2 linked regions of the Caenorhabditis elegans genome follow. The protein of the gene in region 1 purifies or fractionates together with the protein of each later gene. This does not show direct contact. Each region holds a gene or a part of one and is shown on either strand. Other genes may lie near its edges.

Region 1 (4,727 bases):
CGTTTATAGTTCGTTTCAATATTAAAGTTGATAAACTATAAATTTAAATGATAAATTCGGTACATATATTAATCAATTTTTTTGAAGTTTCTTGGCATTTTTAGAATTAAAAAATTAATTTTGGCGAATATGTCGAAAAGGCGGCACATGCCGATGTGCCGAGTGGAAACATTTTCGGCAGCACATACCAAACCTAAAAAACTTTACAAGTCAGATGAAAAAAAAAAATTTTTTTTGAAAAAAGGAAAAAAAACTGTTTTAAAAATATATCAAATTTTGTTCAAAATTTTCTTTTTCAGTTTTCAGTTTGCAGTGCTTGTTTATCACATCATAGATCTCAGTAGTTTATTTGTTTTTTTTTTTGACGTAGCATACTTCTTTCGAATACTTTTAAAATCAATTTCAACGCGCTTTGTATTTCGTTCCAGAAAAATTAGCAATTTTTTACCATATCAATTCCCCCAAAATCCAAAATTTTTATTTTTGTTTTTTTTTCCTTTTTTTTTTGGGACGAAAAAATTTGCAAAAAAATTTTCCCGTGGAGGAGAGTTGAACTTTTCAAAAAAAGTGCAAGTCTGTTTATATAATGCTGAATATAACTGCACAACATGATTATTATAAAATATGCGATGGCAGCCATGAAGATAGGGTTTTGTACAAGGGAAAAGACACAAACAAAATTCTCGAGTCTGTCAAGTTTTTTAAAGATACCTTTCGTTGTTATAATAGATGCCTAAATCTGTCAATAAGTCACCGAAAGGAAGAGGAAGCCCGTCAAATGATAGATGTCCTGAAGGTGATGAATATGGACATACCGAATATAATCTTCATTCATGAAAGTATTACAAATGATATGTTCAAATGGCTTGTAGATACTGATTCACGTTGTTATCTAACCATTTGTGTTAGAAAGCCTAGATATCGTATTTTTCGATTTCATGAAAAAATTTCAATTTATCCACTAAATTAACTACATCACTCCCTATGTTCTGTAATTGGTTTCAAGAGTTGTTATCCTCCATTGCTTGTTTCATTTCCACTTTCCCAAATAATAAAATTGCTTTGAAAAGTCGTCGAATGTCTATTTATTACTACCTACCATTTATGCTACTGTTACTAACTAGAAATGCAAAAATTGTGATTTTTACAGAATTCGACATTAAAAAGTACGAGAAGTTCGATTGAAAAATTCAACAAAAAAAAACTAGTAACGGGCGGAACCTATTATCGATTTTTCTCTCAAATTTCCCGTATCTTTTCATAATTTGAATTAGCGGTTGGCAGCAAACGATTATACCGGCAAATCGGCAAATTTCCGGACCTGAATAGTTCCGGCAAATCGGCAAACCCGCAAATTGCCCATTTGCCGAATTTGCCGGAACTTAAAATTTCCGGTGAATTATGGGTTTGCACTTTGTTTTTGAAATTTTCAGAATTTCTATGTTAATCGGCAAAATCGTACGCATTCTATGAATGTTCCTTCATCTATTTTGAAAAGTAAGAAAATTCTATGAAAATATCTTTTTAAAAAAACGGGAAAAAAATTCAAAAAGGCAAAGTTTTAAGTGTTTCCGTCTTATAAAATTATCTCTAAATAGTTCCGGCAAACCGGCAACTTTTCGATTTGCCGAATTTGTCGACAAAGAAATTTGCCACCTGAAATCTACCGACTGAGCAACCCTCCGCAGGCAGGCTCTGTTACGCACACCTGCTCTGTGCAGGCTTATATGCACCAAATTCAGATCGATAATAGATATGCATGCACAGAGTGTCTTGTTGTGTCCCCAGTTATTCATCGATCTGCCATTCTTTTTTAAATGTCTCCACCATTTCCAATATGCAAACTTCCATCATTACCACTCAAAGAGGCACTTGATGGTATACCGACCTATGATTTGTAAGTTATCTTTTTTGTTTAAAGATGGGGTACCGAAATCTGAGAAATATTTTTAAATCACTCCAAATTTTCCCCTGATATCGAATATCTAAGTGAAAAAATTCAAAAAAATTTCCCTGATTTTATATGTCAGCTTGAAATCGCTTGTGCATCTATGAGATTTTTTCGAATTTTCGCACCATGTGTCGATTTACGAGATTTGTGTATATTTACGAGATTTTCAATCTTGTCAACAATTTTCCTTCATTTACGTTGATTATTGACCTAAGAATTGGAAATATTGTTAGTTTTTTGTTAATATAATGTTTAAATTTATGCAAAAACCGATGTAAATAAAGGAAAATCGTTGAAAAACGGAAAATCTCGTAAATCGACACTTGGCGCGAAAATTCGGCGTTTGAAAAATCTCATGGATGCACAAGCACGGGGTTCTGGCATTCCTCATTAAATTCTCCGCGCTCCATTGACAATCGCCCGCCGGACAACGTGTGGGAGAATCGTGTTCTCCACACGGACAAATACATTTAGTTTTACAACTAAGATCGAGCCGCGACGCGACACGCAACGCGCCGTAAATCTATCACAGATACACGTGGTCGCTGGCTGTCTCAAAATTGCTATTTTCTCGCAGACGAGAAAACGTGAAAAACTGAGCAAAATGTCCTTCAAAACGGTGGAAGAGGAGTATTCCTCGTCCCCCGTTCACGTAGTCCTCTCGGAGAAGAAAAAGCGTGAGAAAGAAGAGACGCAGAGGACGAGACAGTCTCATTCCTCGTCTATTCTCAATGGGGCGCGTTTTCATCGAAATTATGCAAAGAGACAACCATCGAGCACGTGCAGATATGGCGGAGCCAAAATGGCCTAGTTCGGCAAACTCTTACATTTCAATTTATGAGGGAAACCAGAAATCCGTGGCACAAGCGATTTCAAGGTGACATATTAAGAATCCATGAGATCATGAGAATGCCTACCGTTTTGGCGCGGGAATATCTCGTAGCGAAGGCACCTAAATCTCTCTTTGCCGCACGCTCTCTCTGCTGCCGTTCGTTTCGCGCCAGGAAACAGGCATTCTCATGAACTGATGGTCCCTTAATATAAAATCAGGGAAATTTTTTTGAATTTTGTCACTTAGATATTCGATATCAGGGGAAAATTTGGAGTCATTTAAAAAATGTTTCTCAGAATTCGGTACTCCATCTTTAATGGTATTTCATGTATGTATATATAGTTATTTTTAGGTTCACTCTTTGTTTCACGTCTCAAAAAACGAAACAACTTATTAAAAGAATCATCAGAAATTTTGAAGATCGCGAAAACGAATGCAAAGCAACTAGAGTAAAAGTAAACATTGATGTACAACCTGATTACATTGAAGTATTCGATGATTTCTCCGAAAAACGAGTGCTCTACAGAGGAAATTACATGAAACAAGCTCTGGGAACTGTCAAATGTTCAATGCATATTCATACCTTTGAACTCGAAGCGCTCTTCATTAATAGTCATCGAAAGGATATTGAAGTTGAACTCCGTCAGCTATTAAATTTTCTGAAAACGGAGGCTCTACACTTACCTAGATTAAAATTCAAGCATGAACACATATCCAGCAAACTTTTAAAACGTATCCTAAAATTCGATGTGTATTATTTGGATATTCGTGTCATCAAGCCAAAGACCATGAAATGTGCCAACTGGAAGGTCCTCAGCAAGTACATTTCTGTCAATTTAGAAGGTATCAATATTTCCAGTAAGCAAGCCAACAAGTTTCTGAAAAAGCTGAAGGAAAAAGGAAGACTAATGTCATTTTCGGCAACCAACATGAAGAGCAGTCTTGTACCATCTGCAGTTGTGAAGGGTACGAGGTCAATGGAAAATATGGAAATTTCGGATTCAGCAGAAGTGGAACGTCGCTCTGTGTTCAATTGCTTTAGGCCTTCATTTGTAAAGCCAGAGTACAAGTTCATGATGAGGATCACTGATTATTGGAACGAGGACATTGTAATTTGGAAACATGGCTTTAAATTTACATTTACAGATCGTAATCTTCCTTTTTTTCCTAATCTTCCTGTGTCTTCCTGTTGCTGTATCAATGTCAATTAAAAAATAAACATTTAAATTTACTGTCTTGATATTTTTAACAGTTGTCACGTTTGCTTTGATCTTTGAAAAACGCGGGAGAAGAGACGCAGACATCTCATCTGACTTTGCATGGTTAAGATCGTGCTGACGTCACAATTTTTCTGGAAAAATATTCCCGCATTTTTCGTAGATCAAACCGCAACGTGACAGCCTGACACCACGTGAGTTGTTAGACTAGTTGTTAGACTCCAATCAATTGAGTTTGAATTGAATTTTATTCCTTTTGGAGATGCAGCTGCACAACTTGCATCCTGCTAAAGTTTTCAAAATAATATGCACTTTAATGTTTTGCCTATTGGTCGGATAACGACTTTCGCCAATTTTTTGGGCATGTTCAAGTTTTTTGGGGTTTCTGGGATGTTGGTATTTTACTGCTTTCGGAAGATTATGGCATTTTCACAACTTTTTTCCAAGAGATCCCTTGAAAGTTCGGATTGCCTCCCACCGCCTAAGCTTAAGCCTAAGCCTAATCCCAAGATTAAACCCAAGAGAGCGGCTGGTCTATAATATAAAGGGGGTTGTTCCAAAAAATCCTCTTTTATGCCTTCGTGTCGAGAGTGTGACAGAAGACGATTTCCCCGTTCAGAGATAGGGCTTGAGAGATAAATAGGTCAGGACATTATTTCAAGTGTGTTTGTTTTCATGATAACTTTCATTTCATGATCAATGTTGCGATTTCTATGTTGACGACATT
Region 2 (4,935 bases), on another chromosome or scaffold:
CCGTTTGTCCCGTTGTCCCGTTTTTTGAGTGTTTTCACGGGAACGGGACGTCCCGCTGTCGGAATAGAGTATCATGTCTTTGGCTAACAATTGACGTTTTTCTTTGCTGCTTAGCGCTCTGACAGTCAGGACAAAAAGGATTAAAGGATGTTCCGTTCTTGAAGAGTTATGCACTGTGGATCTGGGAATCAGGTACAGTATCTGGTGGTGGTCCCACTTGGCTATAATTTAAGCCACGTCCTAGCCGGGGACTGTGGCCGATAATCCAGTCGTGGATTGCTCCACTTCCCAATAGAGGCTAGGTGAACCTAGGGGGTGAGGCCTGGCTTGAACTCGTGCCCTACAGATTGCTAGCGGCCACCACTACCGACTGAGCTATCTACCCCCACAGCAGAAATTTCTGAAAATCAAAACTATCGATCTGGAGACCTTTGGGATCAATCAGTTTCCCATTGTTGTGCGACAGTAAAAAAAGGTGAGGGATAGGTCGATAATCGGTCATCTCTGTTGGCTTTCTCTCGGGACAATCTGTTGCGCCATACCTATTTAATCCAGTTTTATCTTTACAAGATGCCTATGAAGATCTTTAGCAAAGAAATTCTTTCTGATCATTTGATTCAGCTAAGGAGGAAGTATTTTGCTATTTTTTCTTACTTTATCACCTAAAGTAGGAACATAAAAACTTTTCCGTAAATCAACTATCTGTTTTGAACCGAATTGAGAAAACAGATTTACTGCGAATGTGTCTGATTGGAGGTATCTAGCTGCAGTTCATCGTAATACCTATCTTACCACATTTCAAACCTGAAGTTCTCGTAACAATTTTGATTGAACAATGCGGTGTGGATATTCGGGAAACATTAAAGAACCCTATGATCTTTCTTTTAGATACTGGGACAATCAATTGCGCCATACATATCACAGCCAGTTACATCCTTGCGAAATGATTTTGAAGATCTCTAGGAAAAAAGTCATTTTTATGAAAAGCTAAATTTATTTTTCTCCGCCCGGATGTTTGAAGTTTTACAATCGGAGAAAAAGTCTGAAATGTATTACATCCATTAATATGTCTTATAGTTAACAGTCTATAAACTTCCTAGCAACAAAAGTTTTCCAACCTCCACTGGCGTGCAAACCGATCGATCATAGTGAGAAATGGAATGATAAATGGTAAAAAGGCCTCGAATGAGCGCTCTCGCCGCCTTATATACGCCGGCGAGAGACGCAGAGAAAGCAGGGAAATTAGAATCCGTGCGCGCCCGCTGTGGGTCAAGATCAACTCTCCTCCTGTGTGCGTGTGGGTCTAGTATTGAGCGTGTGCAGTCGATGAGCGTGAGCGAATCGTCGGAACTCTGTAAAATACTACCGTAAAGAAGGAAATAAATGTATTGATTTATTTAGCTTATTTAATGATCGAAATATGAGGTCGAGTAAGGCAAAGATCCTTACAACATCCATTAATATGTCTTATAGTTAACAGTCTATAAACTTCCTAGCAACAAAAGTTTTCCAACCTCCACTGGCGTGCAAACCGATCGATCATTTCGAAACCGTAAAGAAAACAAACATCCTTGAGTGTTTAAAAGTCTTGTCTGTGTATTTTATTGAGTTACACCGAACTTTTCTCTTGCTCATCTTATCTTATCCTTTTTCTTTTCAAATAGTTGCAGGCTCCTTTTTAAATTTACTGACCATATCTTACAATAAAAGTTATTTTCCTTCAGTTTACTTTTAATTTGTCTTTCTCAACTGTCATAATATTCCTTATTATTTTTCCAGAAAGTTACGGCTCTTCATCTAATTTCCCAAAAAAATGACCGAAAACCTGACGAAACAGTTGAATTCTTGCAAGATGTTAGTTTTTCAACAGAAATATTATTTATTTCAAAAAACTTATGTTTTTCAGCGCCCACGCTCCCTCGCTATCTGGTATGCCATTGGATATTATCAACAGGATTCTTGACAAGTTGGATCCAATCTTTCGGTATACTTTTTTTTTGTTAATCCACCTAATCTGAACTATTTTCCAACAGATTTTCTCTCCGGAGAGTGTGTCGGAATCTGAGAAACGTCATTGATAACAGAGACCCGGAAATTGAGCAAGTACATGTTCTTTTCCAGTCAAACCAAAGTGTTCTTACTATCAACTCAACATTTGAGTTTGACTACAATCTGTATGCTATACTGGATGATTTGGCAAGTTTGTGGAAGAACCCGAAACTTCAGTTGAAATCATTTTATGCCTCAACATCAGGAAAACATCAGGAAACTGTAGTGGATTCGTTTGAGGAAATTGCTAGATTAGATTATCAGATTCACTGCAAACATTTTGGACTTTATCTGTTTGAATTTGATGATGTGTTAACTTTCTTGCCCCTTTTTAAACCTGGAATTCTAGAAGAGATTGTCATAACTACGTTCGAGCAAGTAGGAAACGATGAAGCATTTGATATAATTGAAACGGAACAATGGAAACAAGCAAAATCAATTACTTTGCATTCAATGAACAAATTGAGTTACTTCACTTTTCCCATTGAAGACCTTTTTCATCTGTGCAAATTCTCTGTGTCACTAGAAGAATTAACAGTTTTTGATGCACTTAAAATCAGAAATGTGAGCTTTAAAAACTTGTATTCTAAAAGCCAATCGAATTGTTTTCAGATTCTCCTGAAATCCGTACATTTTGAAGCTGGTCAAATCAATGTAAAAAACAAAATCCAGGATGATGTTTTGAGAGTTTTCAACCCAGAATTCAACGATAATATTTTTCGCTATGACAATTTTGAACTCACTTTTAAGTTAAATTCGTTGAACGTTAAAAAGATTTAAAGAAATCTTTTCTATTCTGGTTGATTTTTTCAAATGAAAATTAACAATTTGTTTGAAAAATATGCCGCTTCAACTTCAGAAGTACACAGTTATTTTCTGTAAAGCGTGAAAAAATGGCATCTTACAAGAATACAACTGATTCATTAGGTTGGTCATTTTGGTCTGATCAGTCGTTCTCTGAAAAATATTGAGAGATAATGAGAGAAACACTGAGTAAATATGATACACAGACAATCCCTTGAAAAATAGCTCATAGGTGTTTGTTAAACAATGAACATTTTTAAAGTGGGTGGAGCTTGTTAGGTTTTGTTGCTAATAGTAAATTGAAATTGCTTTTATTTTTTCTAATTTAAACTTTCAAAAGGTTCACTTTTTTCTAGAAGTCTCTAAATCTAATTTTTCTTTTTGACACGTTCCTGAACTTTCTTCATAGAAGTTTCAAGAATGTTCCAGAGCAAGGTTTCTGATATGATATTTTGCTCACTTGTGCGTGCTCTTCGTTTATCAAGTGTGACAATATTCTCTGTTAGTTTTCAGAACCCGAAAAATGACCGACAACCTGCTGAATCAGTTGGAATCTTGCAAAATGTTAGTTTTTTTTTCAAATATTTTTTACCCGAAACGCAGAGAAAGCAACATCATAAACATATCTATGTAGATCAAAAAAATTCCATGCCAATTTCTAAAACCAGCAAGATTGTTGACAAAATGGATTTCAAAAATAAGTAATATAACCTCAGTTTTTGTCATTTGAATCAAGATAACAAATTTTCAGATGTATTCTCCGCGGCGTGTGCAAATCGAAGAAAAATACTCATTTGGATTCACTCCTGGGGTGTTTATCAGTGTTGATGAAGAATTCGGAACTTCAGTTGGATTCATTGGATATCATAGTTTACCACAATCATAACACAATAGTTAAGTGGTTCGAAGAACTAGTCCAATCGAAAAATCAGACTCACTGCAAACATGTCCAACTGGTGGCACCTGGAGTTCAGCGTATGTTATCTTTCTTGTCCCATTTCAAACCTGAATTTCTCGAAACAATCATTATTGCACAAAATGGAGTGGAGAATTCGGGAGAAATTTGTAAATTCATTGATATAGTTGAATCGGAACAATGGAAACGAGCGAAATCGATTTATGTCTATTCAATAATCTCCTCCAATTTTCCAATTGAAAACCTCTTCCATCTGACCGTTTTCTGTGTTCCGTTGGGAGAATTGGCAGTTTCTGATGCAATTAAAATTAGAGATGTGAATTTAAGTACTTTTAATATTTAAATTAATCTAAGACTTGTTTCCAGATTCTTCTGAAGTCCGCTCATTTCGAATATGGCCAAATCGATGTGAAGGAAAACATTCCGCAGGAGGTTGTGAGAGTTTTTGTTCCAGAATTCAATGATGAAATCCCTCGCTATCGTTCTCGTGGGCTTGAATTCAAAGTCGATCAATTTCAACTCACATTCAGCTTTAACTCGGTGATAATCAAAAAGACTTGAAGAAACCTTTTTATTTTCGATTGTGATTGTTGTTCTCTTTTCAATTGGAAATGAAAATTTTTTTGAAAATACCGTTTTTTAATTCGGTCTCGATACCGTCACCAATATGGCGAGTCAAATAGTTGAAGAACACCTTGTTGCAGTAGGTGTGTTCGTCATTGAATAGATATTGTGAAAGATCCACTTGGTACACTTGGTGACAGGTTGTCCCATAATATATGTATCAGCACACTCTTCCGTAAAAAATCAGTTGAGAAGTCTGAGTCTAGACGCGTCTGCAAAATTCCCGCAATTCTCGGGCATCAAACCGATATGGGGCATTCTGACAACACGTGTACGTTTAGATACAAAATGCAGAATGACAGTTAATTGTGGGAAGATGACCTCATTTCGGAACGATCTATATGTGCAAACTAATCCAGCCAGATGTTCAGAAATTTTCCAAACAAAACTACAGCGGAAGTAACTGAAAAATGCATTCCACTACAAACTTTCTGTTTTTTTTTCAAAATTATTTCTCATTTTATTGTTGAATTTAACCGTTTTTTTGTATTTTTCAAACTTTGTTTAGAGTACGGTAGTTCGTAAATTCCGCAGTGTGTTTG

Evidence for each region.
Region 2: the proteins of W04A8.3 (region 1) and fbxa-111 fractionate together in Caenorhabditis elegans (co-fractionation; one large-scale study listed by BioGRID). This does not show direct contact.

The regions. Positions count from the first base shown.
Region 1 is NC_003279.8:13,844,017-13,848,743, reverse strand, and holds W04A8.3 (F-box domain-containing protein), read left to right. Parts: upstream 1-1,786; 5' UTR 1,787-1,817; coding exon 1,818-1,897; intron 1,898-3,135; coding exon 3,136-3,994; 3' UTR 3,995-4,005; downstream 4,006-4,727.
Region 2 is NC_003283.11:16,946,553-16,951,487, reverse strand, and holds fbxa-111 (F-box domain-containing protein), read left to right. Parts: upstream 1-1,778; 5' UTR 1,779-1,813; coding exon 1,814-1,854; intron 1,855-1,906; coding exon 1,907-1,984; intron 1,985-2,033; coding exon 2,034-2,613; intron 2,614-2,661; coding exon 2,662-2,829; 3' UTR 2,830-3,376; coding exon of another isoform or gene 3,377-3,417; 3' UTR 3,418-3,604; coding exon of another isoform or gene 3,605-4,085; 3' UTR 4,086-4,135; coding exon of another isoform or gene 4,136-4,330; 3' UTR 4,331-4,346; downstream 4,347-4,935. Other genes in the region: fbxa-112 (DUF38 domain-containing protein), read left to right, coding at 3,377-3,417, 3,605-4,085, 4,136-4,330.